3 linked regions of the Macaca mulatta genome follow. The protein of the gene in region 1 interacts with the protein of each later gene in a pairwise test. Links are inferred from orthologs where the notes say so. Each region holds a gene or a part of one and is shown in the gene's direction. Other genes may lie near its edges. The genes, in order: CCDC57, PRAM1 and TSGA10IP.

Region 1 (6,995 bases):
TTTGAGATGGAGTCACCCAGGCTGGAGTGCAGTGGTGCAATCTCGGCTCACTGCAACCTCTGCCTCCCCGGTTCAAGCGATTGTCCTGCCTCAGCCTCCTGAGTAGCTGGGATTACAGGTGCCCACCACCACGCCCAGCTAATTTTTGTATTTTTAGTAGAGACAGGGTTTCACCGTGTTGGCCAGGCTGATCTCAAACTCCTGGCCTCAGGTGATCAACCCACCTCAGACTCCCAAAATGCTGGGATTACAGACGTGAGCCACCGCACCTGGCAAGCTTTTGCTTCTTACTTGTGCCTGCCACAGAAAGGCTATCTCTGTGCTTCTGTTCACAAATGTGCTTGCTGCCCCCGCTGTGAGGACAGCAAGGGCTGTATGTGGCAGGGGCGTGGCATTGTGTGTGCAAGAGCTCTGCCGAAATGCTGTGTGTCACAGTTCACTGTTGTCCGCCCCTCCCTAAGTTCACTGTGAAATGGAAGTTACTTTGGTTTCGAAAAGGAACATGCTGTTCTTTCTGAGTGCACTCAGCACAAGAGGAATCCAGAAGTGATGTACAGACAACAAACCCTGTCCCCATCCCATTCCCAGGGCGGCCGCCGCACCATACCCTCCCTCCTGCCCCTGAGGCCCGGAAGCCAGGCGAGGAGCCCAGGAGGCCTTTGGATCGCAGCCCACCTTTGGGACAGGTGCAGCCCCATTTTACAGCTCAGGTAACACTCTTTCATCTAAGACATGCATTTTAAAAAATATTTCCCTAATTGTGTTGTGTTTTCATTACAGAAACTTCAAATTACGATAAACACAATATAAAAGGCCTCCAATTTTCAGCATCCAGACATAGTTACCAGTAACATTTCAGTGTGTTTTCTGCTGGGCTTTGTTTTGGGGGGTTGGTTTGTTTGTTTGTTTTTTGAGTCGGAGTCTTGCTCTGTTGCCCAGGCTGGAGTGCAATGGTGCAATCTCGGCTCACTGCAATCTCCCCCTCCCGGGGTCCAGCAATTCTCCTGCCTCAGCCTCCCGAGTAGCTGGGATTACAGGCGCATGCTACCATGCATGGCTAATTTTTGTATTTTTAGTAGAGATGGGGTTTTACCATGTTGGCCAGGCTGGTTTCAAACCCCTGACCTCAGGTGATCTACCTGCCTCTGCCTCCCAAAGTGCTGGGATTACAGGTGTAAGCCACGGCACCCAACCCCCGTTTTTTTTATTTTTTAATTATAAATTGTATCATGTATATGTTTTACTATAACTTTACATATCTGGGTACTATTTTTTAAATCTTTACCAGTATGATAAGTGAAAAAAAAACCCAAAAACTTCTATCTTTTTTTTTTTTTTTGAGACAGGATGTGGCTCTGTCACCCAGGCTAGAGTGCTGTGCTGCCATCACAGCTCACTGCAGCCTCGACTTCCTAGGCTCAAATGATCCTCCCACCTCAGCCTCCCAAGTAGCTGGGACCACAGGTGTGCGCCACTATCCCTAATGGCTAATTTTTTTTTTTTTTTTGGTAGAAATGGAGTTTTGCCATGTTACCCAAGCTGGTCTTGAACTCCTGGGCTCAAGCAATCTGCCCACCACGGCCTCTCAAAGTACTGGGATTATGGGCATGAGTCAGTGCACCCAGCCACAACTCGTATCTTTTAAAAGATAGCAAGATGGCTGGGTGGGGTGGCTCATGCCCATAATCCCAGCACTTTGGGAGGCAGAGGTGGGTGGATCATGAGGTCAAGAGTTTGAGACCAGCCTGACCAACATGGTGAAACCCCATTTCTACTAAAAATACAAAAATTAGCCGGGCGTGGTGGCGGGCGCCTGTAATCCCAGCTACTCAGGAAGCTGAGGCAGGAGAATCGCTTGAACCCGGGAGGGAGAGGCTGCAATGAGCCGAGATCGTACCACTGCACTCCAGCCTGGATGACAGGGCAAGACTCCGTCTCAAAAAAAACACAAAACAGCAAGACTGTCTCTACAGAAAAATAAAAATAAAAATAAATTACCCATGTGTGGTGGCGCACACCTCGTAACCCCAGACTCAGAAGGCTGAGGTGAGAGGACTAGCTGAGCCCAGGAGATCAAGACCAGCCGGAGCAACACAGTGAGACGCTGTCTCTACCAAAAAAACAAAGACAGACGTTTCTTATGTCCTTAGTGGCATTAAATGCTTTTAATCTATTTATTGGCCATTTGTAGTTCTTCTTCTGTGGGTGATTTCTGTGTGTTCCTTGCTGGTTTTCCGTAACCTCAGAGCCCAGAATTCCTGCTGCATCTGGCTCTTGTGTTTTTATCCTTTCACCCAGACACTCCCTCCGCCTTTCTGTGTCTTTTTGAAAAATCCGTCAGTGTCTTGTAGACTATGGATCTGTCTGATGCTGCAGCCTTGAGAAGTTCAGCTTCTGCATCGATTTTGGGGTTTTCTACCCAGTTCCAATGAGTTGTCTGTTCCTGAAATGGTGCTATACTGCTTTAAATACTGTGGCTTTGTGACATATTTTAATCTCTCTTAGAGCAAGCTTGACCTTATTTCTTTCTGTTCCTTTACAAAATTTTCTTGGCTGTCCTTTCTTTTTTTTTTTTTTTTTTTTGAACGGAGTCTCGCTCTGTCACCCAAGGCTGGAGTGTAGTGGCACAATTTGGGCTCACTGCAACCTCTGCCTCCCAGATTCAAGCAATTCTCCTGCCTCAGCCTCCCAAGTAGCTGGGATTACAGGCGCCCGCCCCCACGCCCGGCCTTAATTTTTGTATTTTTTATAGAGATAGGTTTTCGCCATGTTGCCTAGGCTGGCCTAGAATTCCTGAACTCAAGTGACCCTCCCGCCTCAGCCTCCCAAAGTGCTGGGATGACAGGCTTGAGCCACCGCGCCCGGCCGAGAAATAACTCTTAAAACTGAGAAAAGAAACCTCTATGGAGCCAAGACCCTTTTTGTTTCCTTTTTTATTTCTTTTTAAAATTTATTTATTTATATTTGAGACAGTGTCTTGCTCTGTCGCCCAGGCTGGAGTGCAGTGGCACAATGTCGGCTCATTGCAATTTCCATCTCCCAGGCTCAAGTGATCTTTCCACCTCAGCCTCCCGAGTAGCTGGGACTACAGGCGCACACCACCACGCCTGGCTTTTTTTTTTTTCTTTTAATAGAGACAGGGTTTCACTGTGTCACTCAGGCTGGTCTCGAACTCCTGTACTGAAGCAATTTGCCCACCTCTGCCTCCCAAATGCTGGGATTACAGGCATGAGCTACCAGGCCCGGCCTGTATTTATTTTATTTATTTATTCATTATGAGATGGAGTCTCACTCTGTCACCCAGGCTGGAGTGCAATGGCACCATCTCAGCTCACTGCAACCTCTGCCTCCCAGGTTCAAGTGATTCTCCTGCCTCAGCCTTCTGAGCAGCTGGGACTACAGGCACACACCACCACACACAGTTAATTTTTGTATTTTTGTAGAGACGAGGTTTTGCCGTATTGACCAAGCTGGTCTCGAACTCCTGACTTCAAGTGATCCACCTGTCTCGGCCTCCCAAAGTGCTGGGATTACAGGCATGAGCTAACACACCCGGCCTAAATTTATTTTTCTTTTAAAAAAATGTGGCCGATGTTTGGGCCCAGTGGCTCACACCTGTAATCCCAGCACTTTGGGAGGCCAAGACAGATGGATCACATGAGGTCAGGAGTTCGAGACCAGCCTGGGCAACATGACAAACCCTCATCTCTACCAAAAATACAAAAAATTAGCCAGGCGTGGTGGCAGGTGCCCGTAATCCCAGCTACTCAGGAAGCTGGGCCAGGAGAATCACTTGAACCCGGGAGGCAGAGGCTGCAGTGAGCCGAGATGGTGCCATTGTACTCCAGCCTGGGCGACAGAGTGAGACTCTGTCTCTCCACCCCCCTACCCCCAGAAAATAAGTGGCCGGGCATGGTGGCTCACATCAGTGATCCCAGCACTTTGGGAGGCTGAGACGGGCAGATCACCTGAGGTCAGGAGTTCAAGACCAGCCTGACCAACATGGTAAAACCCCATCTTTACTAAAAATACAAAAACTAGCCAAACGTGGTGCCGGGCGCCTGTCATCCCAGCTACTTGGGAGGCTGAGGCAGGAGAATCGCTTGAACCCAGGAGGTGGAGGTTGCAGTGAGCTGAGATCGCGCCACTGCACTCTAGTCTGGGTGACAGAGTGAGACTCCATCTCAAAACAAAAAGAAGCAGCAGAATCAGCCAGGCGGTATCACTGGGGGCCACTTGTGCCCATCTTGGGCCAGGGGGCTCTCACCCCAGGCAGGCCATGCACAGGCTGCCCTGGCCTTGCAGAGGAGGCTCCTGGGAATGAATGATTGGGGAAGCCTGCTCCATTCATCCTGTCTGGGAAACAGGTCCCTTCAGTCTAGGCTGTCACCAAATGATGTGAGTCTTTAATACCAGAAATGTGGGGAGGCATTCCTTCCCAATCTTGTGGGAAGACTCACGGACACACACCATCAGTGAATGTGAATACCAGAGTCCTCTCGTGTAAATCCCCACGGCAGGACGCCAAGAGTGCCGAGGAGGAGTGTCCTTTGGGACCCTTGGGAAAGCACCGGCCCCGCCCAGCACAGGTGGGCAGCAGATTTGATGCCCTGCGAGGCCCGAAGGTGAGAGTGGCAGTGCCTGTGCCGGTGCGGCTGCGTGGGGTGTGGCCGGCAGGGAAGCTAGGGTCTGGGCCCTCTGGGCCTCTCGGTGGGGCCTTCGCTCTGCACCTGCCTTTGTGCCATGGCCAGGGGCTGCTCGCAATGGCAGGGTGAGCTGCAGAGCGTTTGCTGGGTGGTCCCACAAGGGCGGTAAAGGTGTTGGGAGGGCCCCAGGACCCCTAAAGCACACGGGGCCCACGCTGGCCGTTCGTTGCTGTGCCCCTCAGGGTATCTGCCCTGCATTTCAACTCATTCCCCATCGAAACGGGGCAGCCTCTGCCCTAGACGTGTTTTGTCGTTTGTTGAGATGAGCACTGAGATTCAGGCCCTGCTCACACTCGGCGTTCCCAGCGCTGAGACTCACTCCCCAGATGCACCCCTGTCTGCAGCTCCCTCTCCTGGGTGGTCCTGGGAGCATCTGCCTGGGCCTTTGAGCCAGGCCCACTGTCTCCTTACTGCTTCCAGGGGAGTGGCTGGGGGAGTCCTGTGGCTTCCTCTGGGTTGGAGAGGGTGGCTTTCAAGACGATGATGTCTTTTCTAGACACAACGCAGCATCCACACGGTGACCTGTAAATCACCTCGGCAGAAAGAAGGCAGGTCCCCAAAGCCACCCCAGGCTCCCAAGCGCCCTGAGGAGCATGGCCGCCAATCCCACAGCTCCTCCTCCCTTGCCAGTGGCGCCCTCCAGGACACTTGGAGGTTGCTAGACCTGGGATCCAGCCCTTCTGGCCTCACCTCCCAGGGTGACTCAACTCCAGGTAGGAGACTGCCCTCCCCAGGAGCTGCCCACAGCTGGCAGCTGGTGGGGGCCACCCTCTCCGAGGGGCATGTGGAGAGTCAGCACCCTGCATGCCTCCCACACCCTGAAATCCCTGCACTTTGGTTGAGTAATGCACGGAGTCTCCTTACCTCTCATTTGGCACCTGAGTGTTTCCCAGGTTATGGTGCAAAGCCCTGAAGGGCAGAAACCATGCCACCTCCTAGCGCAGCACTGTACACCCGGGTGCGTGCTGACATAGAATGGAACGTCCACGTTCTAGGTGAGACGCGCAGGCGTTGGTACACTTTAGACAGCCCGGCTCCCGGGGAAGAGCCAGGCCAACCCCAGTGATGCTCAGCCTCGGGGGCCAGACAAGCGTCACGCCGCATCCTTGTCCTCATCCTGCTTTGCTGCACAGACATCATCCCCCTGAGACTCTGCTGTGCACCTAAGTCATAGGCCTGGTAAACTCAGCAGGTCACAGTGCCAGCTCCTGCGAATGGTCTCAGGATGTTTTCAGGAAGGTCTATTTGAAGGGTGCACCTTGTGGGGACTGCATGGGTCCATGACGTGGGAAGAAGGGTGGAGAGAGACGGATGCTGCTTCGAAGCAGCTAGAGTGGTGGGACGTGCGATGTGTTGGGGCGGGAGCACGCGTCCGTCCTGTGTGCCTGCGTGGAGGGCGTCCCCTTCTTACCTTGCAGCTTCTGTCTTCCATCATGAGGACGTGCCGCATTCATTTAAGCATTCTCTCCTTCATGCGCATTGTAGGCTGTTTCCAGTCCTTTGCCATCACAGATACTGTTAGAATAGAAACCTTACAGGCTGCAGTGTGTGAAAATACACGTGTAAGTGCCCCGGCTTGCTTAGTCGAGGCTGCCTGCACACCACGTGTGGTGGACACCATCGCCTCAGCCTCCGCTGCCCACCCGGAGGCTGCCCCCAGCAGCAGCGTCTGAGAGTCGTGGAGCCACACGGAGCTTTTGCCGGTGGCAGGCAGGGTTGGAATCAGCGCCTCTGTTAGGAGGTCGTGCCTCTTCGTGTGTGTTTAGGAGTTACTTCCTTTTCCTGTTCTTCAGTTCTCTGCTCCTCTGTATATTAGATTGTCGTCTGTCTTACTGATTTGTAGCAGCTCGTTATATGTGAGAGAAATTCGGCCTTTTTGGTGATAGCAGTGCAAATGTTTTCTCCCAGTTCTTCATATTTTTAAATGTTTCGTGTGGTGTTTTTTTATGTTCATATTTTTTATTTTTGTGTAATTTAATGTCCTTGTTTTTTATCTTTTCTGGTTTTTTTTTTTTTTTTTTTTTCCTTTGAGACAGAGTTTTGCTCTTGTTGCCCAGGCTGGAGTGCAATGGTGTGATCTCAGCTCACTGCAACCTCCGCCTCCCGGGTTCAAGTGATTCTCCTGCCTCAGCCTCCCGAGTAGTGGCACCCGCCACCGCTCCAGGCTAATTTTGTATTTTTAGTAGAGATGGGGTTTCACCATGTTGGCCTGGCTGGTCTCAAACTCCTGACCTTGTGATCTGCCCGCCTCGGACTCCCAGAGTGCTGGGATTACAGGAGTGAGCCACC
Region 2 (7,544 bases), on another chromosome or scaffold:
GTCCCAGCTACTCGGGAGGCTGAGGCAGGGGAATGGAGTGAACACAGGAGGCAGAGCTTGCAGTGGGTCGAGATCGCGCCACTGCACTCCAGCCTGGACGACAGAGCGGGACTCCCATCTCAAAAAAAAAAAAAAAAACAAAAAAACGCCAAAAAATAGCCAGGCATTGCTGGGCACGGTGGCTCATGCCTCATGCTTGTAATCCTAGCACTGTGGGAGGCCAAGGCGGGTGGATCACTTGAGGTCAGGAGTTTGAGACTAACCTGGCCAACATGGCAAAATCCCATCTTTACTAAAAATATGAAAATTAGCCGTGCATGGTGGTGGGCACCTGTAATCCCAGCTACCCGAGAGCCTGAGGCAGGAGAATGGCTTGAACCCAGTGAGACGGAGGTTGTAGTGAGCCAAGATCAAGCCCCTGCACTCCAGCCTGGGTGACAGAGCGAAACTCTGTCTAAAAAAAAAAAAAATAGCCAGCCGTGGTGGCTACCTGGGAGGCTGAGGCAGGAGGATCACTTGAGCACAGCAGTTCAAGGCTGTGGTGAGCCATCATCACACCATTGCAACCCTGACCTGGGAGACCAAAAAAAACAATCCCGGGAGCTCCGGGGACGGGCTGGTCCTGAGAAAGTGCAGGGACTGGCCAGGATGGCCTGAAGACCCCAGACCCCGAACCCCACACTGACTCAAGGGGAAGAATTCTTTAGAATTGGGGAGGCCGGCTGGGGGCTCAGGTCTTCATCCTCCTCGCTGTCTGCCAGACCGGTTTCCACCGTGTCCGAGCTCTGAGGAGCAGGGTGGGTCAAGGCCAGCCCTCCGTGGCCTGGACTTTCTCTTCACCCCCGAAGCCAGTGTCCCTCCTGGGTATGGAAGTCCCAGGTGATGTCCACAACCACCCCTTGGAGGCTGGTTTTACCTCCATGATTCCTCTCCCTTCTATCCTCATCTCGCCAGCCCCAGGGTCCCCTAGCCCACCCCCTACTCTCCCCAACCTGCCCTTCCCCCAAGACTGACAATGGTCTCCTCTTTTTCCTTTTTTTTTTTGGGGGGGGGAGACAGAGTCTTGCTCTGTCACTGAAGTGCAGTGGCACGCTCTCGGCTCTCACTGCAACCTCCGCCTTCTGGATTCAAACGATTCTCCTGACTCAGACTCCAAGTAACTGGGATTACGGGCGCCTGCCATCACCCCTGCCTAACTTTTTGTGTTTTTAGTAGCGACGAGGTTTCAACATGTTGGCCAGGCTGGTCTCGAACTCCTGACCTCAGGTGATCCACCCACCTTGGTCTCCCGAAGTACTGGGATTACAAGTGTGAGCCACCACACCCTGCCAGGGTCTCTTCTGATTGTTCCCCTCTCCTGCCCAGCACCCTTCAGTGGCTTCCCACAGCCCTGTCGATGAAGATCCTGTTCTCCCAGTAGCCCAGGGACCTCCTTCACCCCAGTCCACCTGTCTCAATCTTTACCTCCTCCTCTTTCTCCATTCTCTAAATCCACTTCGGGGTCCCCCTCACCTCCTCATCCTGGCATCTGCAGCCAAGACACCAGTGACCCCTGGACGGGGCCCCCGGACCCCACTCCTCCGTCACTGCCCTCCTACCTACTTCTTGCCCCCCAACACCTTCCTTGTCGTCTTCCTCAGATTGTTTTTTTTTTTTTTTTTTTGAGACCGAGTCTCGCACTGTAGCCCAGGCTGGAGTGCAGTGACGCCATCTCGACTCACTGCAACCTCCACCTCCCAGGTTCACGCCATTCTCCTGCCTCACCCTCCCGAGTAGCTGAGATTACAGGTGCCATCCACCATGCCTGGCTAATTTTTTTGTATTTTCAGTAGAGATGGGGTTTCAGCATGTTGGCCAGGCTGGTCTCGAACTCATGACCTCAGCTGATCCACCTGCCTTGGCCTCCCAAAGTGCTGGGATTACAGGCGTGAGTCACCACACCTATCTTCCTTGGACTTTTCATCCACCACCGTGTCCACCTCAGGCTCTGAGTCAAAGCCATCCAGGTAAACAAGCCAAGGGCCACCTGCCCCACACCTGCTCAGTGCCATGTCACCTCAAAGATGGACAGCTCTGGGCTCCGGAAGCCCTTCAGCCACTGCAAGGGGCAGGAGGGGATCCTCAGGCCCTTAGGACCCGTCTGTGTGCCCCACTGCCCACAGCCTCACCAGGGGCCTGAAGACTGCCCTGTCCTTGATGGGGCTGTGATGTGATGGGGCTGCAGCCTCAGCTCACGTGGCTTGGGCTGGGTGTCCACTCTCCCAGCACCCCTAGGCCCCAGCTGAGGTCGCTGTCACTCAGGATGGGGTTGGACAGGCCATCAGGAGGCCCCGGGGCTCCAAGGCCCCCTAAGCTCCCCCTTCTCGGCCAGAAGCCTTGAAACCACCACTGTGGGACCCTGGAAAAGACTCGACCTCCCCGCCTCCCAATTCCCTCGTCCTTAAAAGGGTGTCATGATGACGGGTGAGCCCTTTGGGGTGGATGGGAGGATGAAAAGAGAGGCTGCGGGGAGAGGAGGGACTTGGGAAATGTCTGCCGAGAACTTCACATCCCGAGCCCATGGCTGCCTGGGGAGGAGGGTGGGACAGGTGAAGGGGCCCGTTTTACAGATACATAGAGAAGGTGAGGCTAGGAGGCCTCTAGCGAGCGCCAGTTCCAAGTCAGGGCCACTGATTCTGCACCATCTTGGGAGCTGCGCACAGTTACCACGGGATGAGGAAACCCTGGCAGCAGGTCCAGAGGACACGCCCCTGTTCCCGCACTCTGGAGGTCTCTAGATCTGGCTGTAGTCCAAGCCTATCCCCCATCTCCAGGAATAGCGCTGTGTTCTCTGTCCCCCAGGCCCCTAACCCCTCTCCAGGGTCCCGGAGGCCAGCAGGAGTCTTCGTCCCCATCAGTTTCCTCATTCGGCCACCCCCAGATCTAGCCCACGCTACTTCCCAGTCTGTCACTATCTTTCCAGAGAGACCCAGAGCCGACACCTCCGTCCAGGGACCTCTCCCTTACCCCGTCGCCCACGGAGATGGGACAGCCCTTCCTGTGTGTACAGTGGGCCCACGGTCATCACACTGCCCTCTGGAGTGAACTGACTGCCCCGAGGCCTGGGGAGCTGGATCACCACCTGGCTTCCGCCGTTCACCCTGTCCACTACAAAAACGACCTCCTACCCTCAAACCGGCTCCCAACCCCCATGCACAGGAACCCAGTCCTCTTGGGCCCCGGCTCCGCCCAGCAGGGGGCGCCCAGGAGTCTCAGACTCGGGGGAATGAAAGCCGGGAGCGCAGTGCAGATAGCAGGCAGGTTGGCTGGAAGCCGCGGGCTCGTGCTGAACAGCTCTGAGGCCGGCCAGAGGCCCGTGCACCGCCCGGCATTTGTCCAGCCCCAGCTGTCATCTGCAGGTGCCGGTCCGGTTACCCTCACCGCGGGCCGGGAGCAGGGAGGAGGAAAGCGCCCCGCGGCCCTGGAATCCGCCGCGCACGTGCTCCCCGGGCTCCTCCCCCTGCGCACACTTGTTCCGGTTTCCGACCGCAGAGTCCCGGAGCCGCGCCCTAACGAACTCTCACTGCCCCTGGTCCGGGCTTGCTTCTCTGGGATTCCAGAGCCCTATCGGTCCCTATCTGCGGCCGTGCAGCGCGGAACCCTGCCGGGAGCCCCTACGGAGGCGCCAAATACACAAAGGGGAGTTGGTGGGGAGGCGCACCATGACGACCGCGCCGGGACCTGCGCGTCACCCCCACGGCGCCCCCGTGGTGCCTTGGTGCGCGCGCCCTGTCTGGACCCTCCTAGCTGCGAGAGTGCACGGGCAGTGTGACCGACCCAGGCACCTGGGAATCCATCAGCTGTCATCCAATCCCTTAATTACCTTGATTGAGCACCTACTGTGGCCAAGAATTGCTTTATTTATTTATTTATATTTATTTATTATTATTTATTTGAGACGGAGTCCCGCCCTGTCACCCAGGCTGGAGTGCAATGGCACAATCTCAGCTCACTGCAACCTCCGCCTCCCCGGGTGCAAGCAGTTCTCCCGCCTCACCCTCGCAGGTAGCTGGGATTACAGGTGTGCACAAACACGCCCAGCTAATTTTTATATTTTTAGTAGAGACAGGGTTTCACCATGTTGGCCAGTCTGCTCTCGAACTCCTGACCTCAGGTGATCCGCCCGCCTGGCCTCCCGAAGTTCTGGGATTACAGGCGTGAGCCACCGGGCCCGGCCACTTGTTCTTTCATTCTTTCCTTCACTTACCCAGGTTCTGGAGACCCACGGAGGGCCCATACTGTCCTCCCGAGACTCCCGTTTGGGAGGGCAACCCACATCTGGCAACTGTGACCCTGGACCGGATGCAAAGGCACAACAGAGATGGCAAGATGGCAGAATCATGATGTCTGTGCTCTTAAAGGAGGTGTGAAAACAAACAGGCAGGCCAGGCGCGGTGACTCACGCCTGTAATCCCAGCACTTTGGGAGGTCCAGGCGGGTAGATCACTTGAGGTCCGGAGTTTGAGACCAGCCTGGTCAATGGTGAAACCCCATCTCTACTAAAAATCCAGAAAATTAGCCAGGCATGTTGGTGGACACCTGTAATCCCAGCCACTTGAACCCGGGAGGCAGACTGGGTGACAGAGCAGGACTTTGTCTCAAAAACAATTAAAAAATTTAAAAAAACTTGCTCAGGCCACACCTCAGACTGATTAAGTCAGAGTTTCTTGGAGGTTCTGTTTTTTGGGGTTTTTTTTAGATGGAGTTTCGCTCTGTCACCTAGACTGGAGTGCAGTGGCGCCATCTCGGCTCACTGCAACCTCTGCCTCCCCGGTTCAAGCAATTCTCCTGCCGCAGTCTCCCGAGTAGCCAGGATTATAGGCATGTGCCACCATGCTGAGCTAATTTTTGTATTTTTAGTAGAGACATGGTTTCTCTATGTTGTCCAGACTGGTCTTAAACTCCCGACCTCAGGTGATCCGCCTGCCTCAACCTCCCAAAGTGCTCATATTACAGGCATGAGCTACCTCGCTCAGCCTTTTTTTTTTTTTTTTTACTGTGGCTCTTGATTGATTGATTGAGATTGGGTCTTGCTCTGTCATCCAGGCTGGAGTGCAGCGGTGTGATCATAGCTCACTGCAGCCTCTGCTTCCTGGGCTCAAACAATCCTCCCACCCCAGCCTCCCAAGCAGCTGAGACCACAGGCGCGTACCATCACACCTGGCTAATATTTTCTTTTTTTTTTTGAGACAGAGTCTGGCTCTGTCGCCCAGGCTGGAGTGCAGTAGCGCGATCTCTGCTCACTGTAAGCTCCGCCTCCTGGGTTCACGCCATTCTCCTGACTCAGCCTCCCAAGTAGCTGGGACTACAGGCGTCTGCCACCACACCCAGCTAATTTTTTGTATTTTTAGTAGAGATGGAGTTTCACCGTGTTAGCCAGGATAGTCTTGATCTCCTAACTTCGTGATCCACCCACTTTGGCCTCCCAAAGTGCTGGGATTACAGGCGTGAGCCACCGCGCCCGGTCACACCTGACTAATTTTTTATGTTTTTTGTATAGATGGAGTCTTGCTATGTTGCTCAAGCTGGTCTTGAACTCCTGGGCTGAAGGGATCATCCTGCCTCAGCCTCCCAAAGTGTTAGGATTACAGACATGAGCCACCATGCCCGGCCCAGGTGCAAGGCCTTTGACACTACTCACCCCCCAACCCCCAAATCTGCCATACCAGCTGAGCTTTCTGCACAGGGTGGCAGCCCTGGGAGGAATGAAATGAGGAAGGCGGATGAGCCAACCGGGGCAGATAGTAGAGGCCTCACCCGGTCACATGGGCCCCCACGTCCTGGGTCTCTGGGCCTCCCCAGGAGCCTCCTAAACCCCAGAGCTGTCCGTACCCCTGACCTGCTGAGATCTCCCCATCCTGTGGCTCTCCAGCCCAGGAGATCACCAGCGCCTGGCATGGAGTCCTCCCTGGAGTCCAGAGATGGGGACACCAAAGTGGTGGGAATGACGGGGACTACAGAGAGTAAGAAACTAGTTAGTTGGTCAGGTGGATCACGCCTGTAATCCCAGCACTTTGGGAGGCCAAGGCGGGCAGATCACTTGAGGTTGGGAGTTCAAGACTAGCCTGACCAACATGGTGAACCCTCATCTCTACTAAAAATACAAAAAATTAGCCAGGCATGGTGGTGCTTGCCTGTAATTCCAGCTACTCAAGAGACTGAGGCAGGAGAATTGCTTGAACCTGTGAGGCGGAGGTTGCAGTGAGCCAAGATTACACCACTGCACTCCAGTCTGAGCAACAGAGTGAGACTCTGTCTCAAATAAAAAAAAAAAAAAGAAACTAGTGACCATGTTAGGAACATGCAGGCAACCAATGCCCCAAGCTTGGGACAGTAGCAGGCAGGCCAGGAATTCAAGGGAAATAGAAGTGCCCAGGAGGGGCCAGGCGCAGTGGCTCACGCCTGTAATCCCAGCACTTTGGGAGGCCGAGGCGGACTGATCCCTTGAGGTCAGGAGTTTGAGACCAGCCTGCCCAACACAGTGAAACCTCTTCTCTACTAAAGATACAAAACGTAGCCAGGAGTGGTGGTGCGTGCCTATCATCGCAGCTACACAGGAGGTTGATACAAGAGAATTGCCTGAACCCGGGAGGCAGAGGTTGCAGTGAGCCGAGATGGCACCATGGCACTCCAGCCTGGGCGACAGAGCGAGACTCAGTCTCAAAAAAAAAGAAGTGGCTGGCAGGATCTGGAGACAGATTGGAGCCTCCCCACCTCCTTCCCTTCCTCCTCTGCCCTCCCCCGCCCCACCTCCAGCAGCCCCCACCCTGTGTGCTGGCCGTGGAGCAGAAGCCACAGTCACTTCCTGAAGGCAGCGGCCCCAGCTCGGGTCCCACTCATCCCGTGGCCCATCACCTGCCTGCAGCCATGGTGAGTACGGGGAGAGGCCTGTGCCTCGATAGCCGGGAAGCAAGGGACACAGGTGTTCCCTGGAGGATAGGATCCACCTGTGGAGGGGCAGGGGGGACTGCGAAAGACATCTGGGAAACGGGAAGGGTCGGCAAAAAGGACCCGAGGTAGGAGGCCGCCAGGCACACCCCAGGACAGCACAGGCTCCTGGGGGTTCAGGCTCAGATTGGGACTGCGAGGGGGACAGATGGGACTACCCGGGGGGACGTCTCCCGTCTCCCTAGGTCAACATGAGCAGCAATGTGGGAACGGGCAGCTGGGGTGAGAGCAGTGCTTTCCTGTGGGGTGACAAAGTGGGTCATGGCCCTCCCCCGACCAGTCACCCAAGTTGTGACCTGCTAACCCTGACTTATCTAGCCTTGTGGTCACCCGGGAGCACTTCCTTCAAACCACTGGGGGCTTCGGCAGGGGCACTTCAGGCCCCCGCTGGGAATCGCTGCCTTTTCAAGGAGCACTCCTGGTCTCTGGTCCTCTGGATGGGGAAAGTGAGGTACACACAGGAGGTAAAGGCCACACGCTTCTGCCCTTGCCCTCCCCCAGTCTCCTCGACCACAGGTGAAGGGGGCGTTTGTAGGGCCAAGGAGGCCTGGCCTGCT
Region 3 (7,767 bases), on another chromosome or scaffold:
AGGCTCTGTTCTTCACAGGTTCACACTGGTTGCTGAGTAGAGAATAGTATCAGGACAAAAGCGAAAACTGGGAGGTTGGGTGTGGTGGCTCACACCTGTAATCCCAGCACTTTGGGAGGCTGAGGCAGGTGGATGGCTTGAGGCCAGGAGTTTGAGACCAGCCTGGGAAATATAGTGAGATCCCATGTCAATAAACAATAAATAAATAAATAAGCAAAAGCCAGAGATTAAGTGTTACTGAAATGATCCAGAGGAGAGAGGGTATTGGTTTGGAGAAGCGCTGGATTCTGCATGTATTTCAAACTGGTAAGGTTTGCTAAGGAACTGGTAAGGTTTGCTAAGGAACTGGTAAGGTTTGCTAAGGAACTGGTAAGGTTTGCTAAGGCATTAGGGGCAGAATGTGAGTCAAATGAAGAAGTCAAGGATGATACCAGCCAGTTGACCTGAGCAACGGGAATCTCAGACATGCCCCTGACTGGGATGAGGCAGGCCAGGAGTCTGACCTTCAACATGTCAAGTTGAAATGCTTATTTATCCAAGTGGGGATATCTGATGGGCCACTGGATATTTAAGTCTGGGAGAGGTCAGGCTGAGATATGCAAACTTGGGGACGGGTGGAAAACAGTAGATGCTGTTCTGGCGCAGTGGTTCATGCCTGTAATCCCAATGCTTTGGGAGGCTGAGGTGGGCCAGGAGTTCAAGACCAGCCTGGACAACATGGCAAAACCCCATCTCTACAAAAAAATACAAAAATTAGCCGGGCATGGTGGCGCGTAACTGTAGTCCCAGCTACTCGGGTGGCTGAGGCAGGAGGATCATTTGAGCCCAGGAGTTTGAGGCTGCAGCGAGCTGTAATGGCACCACTGCACTCCAGCCGGTGTGACAGAGTGAGACTCTGTCTCAGAAAGCAAGCAGCAGGTGGCTTTTAAGGCTGTCAGACTGGACGAGCTCACTTAGGGAGGGAGTGTGGTTGAGGAAAGAGGTCTGTATGCACCTCCTGAGAATATCAACCTGAGAAACCCTTGCCCTCTGCCAAGGAAGAAAGTGGCCCAGAATTCTGGACTGCCCAGGAAATTAGCTGGGTTGAGGTCTGGAAGGGGCTCCGTTTCTGAAAGTGGAGCCGCCTACATGTGCCTTCCGCTGGGCCCCAGGTGTGGGAGAAGGATGGCAGCCCCCTAGAAAGAACAGAGTTTGCATATTTTGGATGGCAAAACAGCTTTGCCTAGAGCAGCGCTATTTAGGATATTTACATTGGATGCGCTCATTGTGAGGCGCTACTGGGATGGAGTCTGAGAGCAGAAGAGGGGCCACAGGGCCACGGTCTGAGAAAAATCCTGCCTCTACGGCATCTTCCAGGATAACCTGCTTCCCTGGGGCCACATCATTGATTAATTAAAAACAGCAACACGGCCCGGGGCAGTGGCTCACGCCTGTTATCCCAGCACTTTGGGAGGCCAAGGCGGGTGGATCACTTGAGGTCAGGAGTTCAAGACCAGCCTGGCCAACATGGTGAAACCCTCTCTCTACCAAGAATACAAAAAATTAGCCGGGCATGGTGGCATATTCCTGTAATCCTAGTTACCCGGGAGGCTGAGGTGGGAGAATTGCTTGAACCCAGGAGGCGGAGGTTGCAGTGAGCTGAGATCACGTCACTGCACTCCAGCCTGGGCAACAGAGCAAGACTCCATCGCAAAAAAAAAAAAAGATAATAAGAATAACAGCAACGCTAGCATAGCAGTTCCCATGAGCCATGAGGATGTTCTGTTTGTATCTGCATAGTGATTTAATCCCTACCACTACCCTGGGAGTAGATATGATTATAACCAGCCCCCGATTGCCTATGCGAAAACAGGCACCAAGAGGGTACAGGACAAGTGGAGGAGCTGGAATTTGCACCCAAGTGCTTCCTCTGTGCTCTTAGCCATGATGCTCTGCTGCCTCAAAAGAATGGTCAGCTAGTGTTAGTAATAATAATAACATTTACCGATTTCATCGTTTGGGGTTTCATGTAGTCCTTGCAACAAACCTATGAGCTGGGCCCGTGATTCCAGTTTTGCAGAGTGAGGAGTTGGTCACAGAGCTAGTGAGAGGCCACACCAGGCCTCCAGCCCAGCTGGTCCGTCTCTAGGGCCTCAGTTCAGTACCATATCCCTGTACTGCAGGCCTCAGTGGTCAGCACCAGGCGTCCCATGGGGACTTAAGATTCCAAGGCTTTTGAGCACTGCTTAGAAGTTTGGGGTAAGATCTTTTAATTTTTTTTTTTTTTTTTTTTTTGAGACGGAGTCTCACGCTGTTGCCCAGGCTGGAGTGCAGTGGCGCGATCTTGGCTCACTGCAAGCTCCGCCTCCTGGGTTCACGCCATTCTCCTGCCTCAGCCTCCTGAGTAGCTGGGACTACAGGCGCCCGCCACCGCGCCCGGCTAATTTTTTGTATTTTTAGTAGAGACGGGGTTTCACTGTGGTCTCGATCTCCTGACCCTGTGATCCGCCCGCCTCGGCCTCCCAAAGTGCTGGGATTACAGGCTTGAGCCACCGCGCCCGGCCTTAATTTTTTTATATTAAAAAAATATATATTTTTGAAATGGAGTCTCACTCTTTTGCCCAGGCTGGCGGCTCACTGCAACCTCCGCCTCCCAGGTTCAAGAGATTCTCGTGCTTCAGCCTCCCGAGTAGCTGGGATTACAGATGCCCACTACCACACCCAGCTAATTTTTGTATTTTTAGTGAGATGGAGTTTCAGTCCAGGTGGGAGATGGAGTTTCACCATGTTGACCAGAGTGGTCTCGAACTCCGGACCTCAGGCACTCCACCTACCTCGGCCTCCCAAAGTGCTGGGATTATAGCCACCGCCTGGCCTGGGGTAAGCGTTCAATGTTTTAACTCCCTCCAGAACCTCATGGCCTATGAAGATGGCTAGGTGGGCCTGGGCCCAGGCTCTGAATGGCCTGCTGCCTCTCTCCTGGACACAGCGTTCGACTTCCTGGCTGGGGCTGGGAGTGCAAAGATTTGTTTATTTGTTTATTTTTTCTTGAGGCAGAGTCTCATTCTGTCGCCCTGGCTGGAGTGCAGTGGTGCAATCTGGGCTTGATGCAGCCTCTGCCTCCCGGGATCAAGCGATTCTTGTGCCTCAGCCTCCTGAGTAGCTGGGATTACAGGTATGTGCCACCATGCCTGGCTAATTTTTTTTGCATTTTTGGTAGAGATGGGGTTTTGCCATTTTGGCCAGGCTGGTCTTGAACTCCTGGCCTCGAGTGATCCACCTGCCTCAGCCCCCTAGAGTGCTGGGATTACAGGCATGAGCCACCGCTCCCAACCTGGGAGTGCAAGGATTGAAATAAAATCTTGTGAAAAATCTTGTGAATCAAGTCCCTGAAGGAGCCATATCTCAGTTTGGCTCCTTCAGGGACTTTGCCGGGCCTGGGGGGCAGCACAGGAGACAGACTGACTCCCCTGTACAGATGGATGGGGAAACACAGGTGGAGTGGGGACAGAGGACTTACACCAGGTTACATGGGGAGCCTGTGGATGAGGCAGGAGCAGAGGCAGGACTTGGGCCTGGGTCTCTGCACTGAACGACTCCTGGGCACCCTGCTGAGCTCTCCCTTAGAAGGAGATTGGCCTCACATACCCCACTGACCCCTTCCTAGTATGCTTTTTGCCAGACCCCCTGAGACTGGCTGAGGACTGGTTGCCATAGAGATGGCCTGTTGGGCAGTTCCACGGTGGGGATGGGGGATGGGGCAGGATGGGGCAGGACACCAATATGCTAAATACCTACCAACAGTTGGTTAGGACCCCGTTGGCACGACCAGGGCAGGACATGCGGCTTCAGGCTCCAGGAACCAGCACTGGGCTGCTCAAGCTGCTGTCGACCATCTCTCAGGACAAGCAGGTGAGGTAGGCCCAGTGGGGGCACTTCCAGCTGCCCAGAGCCAGGTGGGCTGCCTTGGGTCAGGGAGGCCTGGGCTGGGGAGGCCCTTGAGAAGCCACGAGACCTGAGCTGAGATCCAGGTGAAAGTCAGGGAGGCAGGAGTGGGACAGGGACCACATGGAGGCCTAAAGGTCTTGGGAGAAGCTGAGGGATGACGCCTGGGGGTGACTCCCCGGGATGATGGGGTGATTCAGGGAACACTGTGGGAGGAGCAGCGTTTCAGGAAAGATTAAGACCACCTGGATGAAAATCACCTTGGTTTCTGCCTTGGCTGTAGCAGGTCCAGGGCCCAGTGGGACATTTGGGAGTGCAGTCCAGGGCCCAGAAGCGGCCTAGTGCAATGGTAACAAATCTGGGCTCCACCACTTCCCAGCTGTGTGACCTCAGTTACTCAGCCTCTCTGAGCCTCAGCTTTCTCCTCCAAGTGATGGGGGTGATAATGAGTACCAGCCTCCTAGGGTCCTTGGGAAGGTGTGTTTATGCATGAAAGTCCTGAACACACAGTAGGTGCTCAGCAGGTGGTGGCTGTTGCTATTTTAATATGCAGAATGGAGGTGGTGTTCGGTCGGGTTTTTTTGTTTTGTTTTGTTTTTTGTTTTTTTGAGACTGAGTTTTGCTCTTTTTGCCCAGGCTGGAATGCAATGACGCAATCTCAGCTCACTGCAGCCTCCACTTCCCAGGTGCAAGCGATTCTCCTGCCTCAGCCTCCCAAGTAGCTGGGATTACAGGTGCAGGCCACCATACCCAGCTAATTTTTTTTTTTTTTTTTTTTTTTTGTATTTTTAGTAGAGACGGGGTTTCACCATGTTGGCCAAGCTGGTCTCAAACTCCTGGCCTCAGGTGATCCGCCCCCCTTGGCCTCCCAAAGTGCTGGGATTACAGGCGTGAGCACCGCACCCTGCCCTGTTTGGTTGGTTTTTACGGTAACGAGGGCCCAGAGGGGCCCAGCCAGGCCCAGCCAGGTGCACAGAAGAGGAGGGCACCCGGGTGAGGTGCAACACAGTCCAGGAGGCTGCTTGAGCTGGCTGCTCCTCCCCTAATGTCTCTGCCCAGGGCCGCCTGGGGAGTGGTGATGGTGTGCCAAATCAGGACCTGCAGTGGAGGTCTCAGAGCTCAAGGCAGACAGCAAAGAAGGACCGCAAGCCCAGGGGCCAGAGCAAGAAAGGACAGGGCTCTGAAGAGGCTGAAGAGTAAGGAGCAGTGGGATGGGTCAGGAGGGTGCTGGGGGTCAGGGCCCTCTGGGGGCTGGTGCCGACCCTGACCCCACCCTGTCCTTTCTCAGTCTCTTCCGCCTTCCTCCTCGGAAGCCCTCCTTCCCCTTCCAGTGGGCCTGGGAGAGCATCGCCACAGATGTCCGGGCTGTGCTTCAGCCAAGTTCCCCAACCCCAGGCCACCAAGCCCTGCCCATGCCCTCCTCATCCTCCCAGCGCCAGTCCAGGCGCAAGTCCACGGCCAACCTCCCAGAGGCCTATGGCTGCTGCCGGAAGACAGAGGTGCAAAACCTGAAGGCGAGACAACAGCTGGGAGCCTGGGGTGGTGTCTCCATCCCTCCTGGCAAAGGGGAGCTAGGACCGGAGACCCCCAGTGAGTGTGGCCTCCAGCCGCCTGGGAGGAGGCCAGGATCAGGATCGGCGTCCGACAAGCAGGTCCAGCTGCTAGGCCCGGGTGCTGAGGAGGCTGAGAGGGGTCTGAGTTCTGGGGAGCCGCCCCAGCGCCCCAGGAGGGGGTCCATCTCAGAGGAGGAGCAATTCTCAGAGGCCACAGAGGAGGCTGAGGAGGGAGAGCACAGGGCTCCCTGCAGAAGGAGGGCTGGTTGTCAGAAAAAGGGGCAGATTTCCGGAGAGGAGGCCTCGGATGAAGGGGAACTGCAGGGCCAGAGCCAGGGGAGCAGGCCTAGCTTCAACAACCTCCAAAGGCCACAGAGGAGGAAGACAAGGGCCAGGGAGCTGCAGGGGCCATGGGACCTGGAGAAGCTGCACAGGCAGCTACAGAGAGACCTGGATTGTGGTGAGCGTGCGACTCGGGGCCCGGGTTCCCCCGAAGCTACACTGTGGGGAATAGGGAGCAGTCAGGGAGGCTGGGCTCAGGCAGGCTGGGCTGTGCTCTGGGTGCTGCGGGGATTGCCCAGCGGCCTGGGAGAGAGAGGCAGCCCCTGACTTGGTCCCACTGTGGGCAGGCCCCCAAAAGCAGCCCTGGAAGGCTTTGAGGGCTGCCTTCCAGGCCTCCAAGCAGAATGGAAAGGCCTATGCCTCGGAAGACGATGAAACTTTCCCGTCTGCCAACCTCCCCAATCGCACCTTCCACAAACGACAGGAAGCCACCAGGTAAGAGGGAAGAGAAGGGAGTGGGAGCCCATGGTGAGAAGTAGAGATGGAGCTGGTTCTCCAAGAGATGCTTAGGCATTTGAACTCTCATTCCTTTATTTATCCATTCACCAAACTTTTGGATCATCCATCCGTCCATCCATCCATCCATCCATTCATCCATCCATCCATCCATCCAACTACTGGTAACATCCACTCAACCATTCACCCATCTCTCTGAATACCTGGCCAATTGTCTACTGATACAGCCACTTTTATTTCCCATCTTTTCTTCTATCCATCCATTAAACTATTAACTAAGTGATTAATCCAACATTTATTATATACTCCTGGGCCCTTAGGATGTAACTATTAAAAGACTTGGAATTAGCTGGACATGGTGACACATGCTTGTAGTCCCAGCTACTCAGCAGGCTGGGGTAGGAGGATCTCTTGAGCTCAGGAGATCAAGACTGCAGTGAGCTATGATCCAGCCACTGCACTCAGCATGGGCAACAGAGTGAAACACTGTCTCTAAAAAATAAGTTAAGGGGCCGGGCGCGATGGCTCACGCCTATAATCCTAGCACTTTGGAAGGCCAAGGCGTGCAGATTGTCTGAGTTCAAGAGTTTGAGACCAGCCTGGGCAACATGGTGAAACCCTGTCTCTACTGAAAATATAAAAAAATTATCCAAGTATGGTGGTGCGTGCTTGGAGTCCCAGCTACTCAGGAGGCTGGGACATGAGAGTCACTTGAACCTGGGAGGTGGAGGTTGCAGTGAGCCGAGATTGCACCACTGCACTCCAGCCTGGGTGACAGAGTGAGACTCTGTCTCAAATGAACAAACAAACAAACAAAAAACCCAGTCTGGTCAACATAGCGAGACCCCTGTGTCTACAAAGGAAAAAAAGATTAGCCTGGCTTGGTGGAAAGCGCCTGTAGCCCCAGCTACTCTAGAGGCTGAGTCAGGAGGATCTCTTGAGCCCAGGAGTTCAAGGCTGCAGTGAGTCATGATCACATCACTGCATTCTAGTCTGAACAACAGAGCAAGATTCTGTTTCTAAAGCAAAGGAGATAGTGGGAGCTGAAGGGGAGACTGGAGGCCGTGAGGAGACTGTTGGCAACACTGAGGTGAGGAACCATAGGCCCTGAACAAGGAGGCCCTGTGGATGGAGGGAGGGGATCCATTTAAGAGACACTTAGGCCGGGCGCGGTGGCTCAAGCCTGTAATCCCAGCACTTTGGGAGGCCGAGACGGGCGGATCACAAGGTCAGGAGATCGAGACCATCCTGGCTAACACGGCGAAACCCCGTCTCTACTAAAAACACAAAAAATTAGCCGGGCGAGGTGGCGGCGCCTGTGATCCCAGCTACTCGGGAGGCTGAGGCAGGAGAATGGCGGGAACCCGGGAGGCGGAGCTTGCAGTGAGCTGAGATCTGGCCACTGCACTCCAGCCTGGGCGACAGAGCGAGACTCCGTCTCAAAAAAAAAAAAAAAAAAGAGACACTTAGAGGCTGGTTCGATAGGCCTTGG

The links.
Region 2: the proteins of CCDC57 (region 1) and PRAM1 interact in binary tests that used the Homo sapiens proteins (3 or more experiments, as listed by UniProt). The two-hybrid records come from large-scale screens. The link is inferred for Macaca mulatta from reciprocal best matches to the Homo sapiens genes CCDC57 and PRAM1.
Region 3: the proteins of CCDC57 (region 1) and TSGA10IP interact in binary tests that used the Homo sapiens proteins (3 or more experiments, as listed by UniProt). The two-hybrid records come from large-scale screens. The link is inferred for Macaca mulatta from reciprocal best matches to the Homo sapiens genes CCDC57 and TSGA10IP.

Annotation. Positions count from the first base shown.
Region 1 is NC_133421.1:91,827,392-91,834,386, reverse strand, and holds part of CCDC57 (coiled-coil domain-containing protein 57), read left to right. Parts: intron 1-588; coding exon 589-710; intron 711-780; coding exon of another isoform or gene 781-810; exon of another isoform or gene 811-1,464; intron 1,465-4,520; coding exon 4,521-4,625; intron 4,626-5,202; coding exon 5,203-5,419; coding exon of another isoform or gene 5,420-5,619; exon of another isoform or gene 5,620-5,914; intron 5,915-6,117; exon of another isoform or gene 6,118-6,221; intron 6,222-6,995. UniProt on the Homo sapiens protein: Pleiotropic regulator of centriole duplication, mitosis, and ciliogenesis. Critical interface between centrosome and microtubule-mediated cellular processes. Centriole duplication protein required for recruitment of CEP63, CEP152, and PLK4 to the centrosome.
Region 2 is NC_133424.1:9,354,972-9,362,515, reverse strand, and holds the start of PRAM1 (PML-RARA-regulated adapter molecule 1), read left to right. Parts: upstream 1-3,811; 5' UTR 3,812-3,972; coding exon 3,973-4,044; intron 4,045-4,250; coding exon 4,251-4,403; intron 4,404-5,017; exon of another isoform or gene 5,018-5,389; intron 5,390-6,521; exon of another isoform or gene 6,522-6,543; coding exon 6,544-6,909; intron 6,910-7,544. Other genes in the region: uncharacterized protein LOC114674096, read left to right, coding at 3,023-3,811. UniProt on the Homo sapiens protein: May be involved in myeloid differentiation. May be involved in integrin signaling in neutrophils. Binds to PtdIns(4)P.
Region 3 is NC_133419.1:8,471,240-8,479,006, reverse strand, and holds the start of TSGA10IP (testis-specific protein 10-interacting protein), read left to right. Parts: upstream 1-3,548; 5' UTR 3,549-3,744; coding exon 3,745-3,891; exon of another isoform or gene 3,892-3,935; intron 3,936-4,983; coding exon 4,984-5,120; intron 5,121-5,212; coding exon 5,213-5,937; intron 5,938-6,106; coding exon 6,107-6,254; intron 6,255-7,767.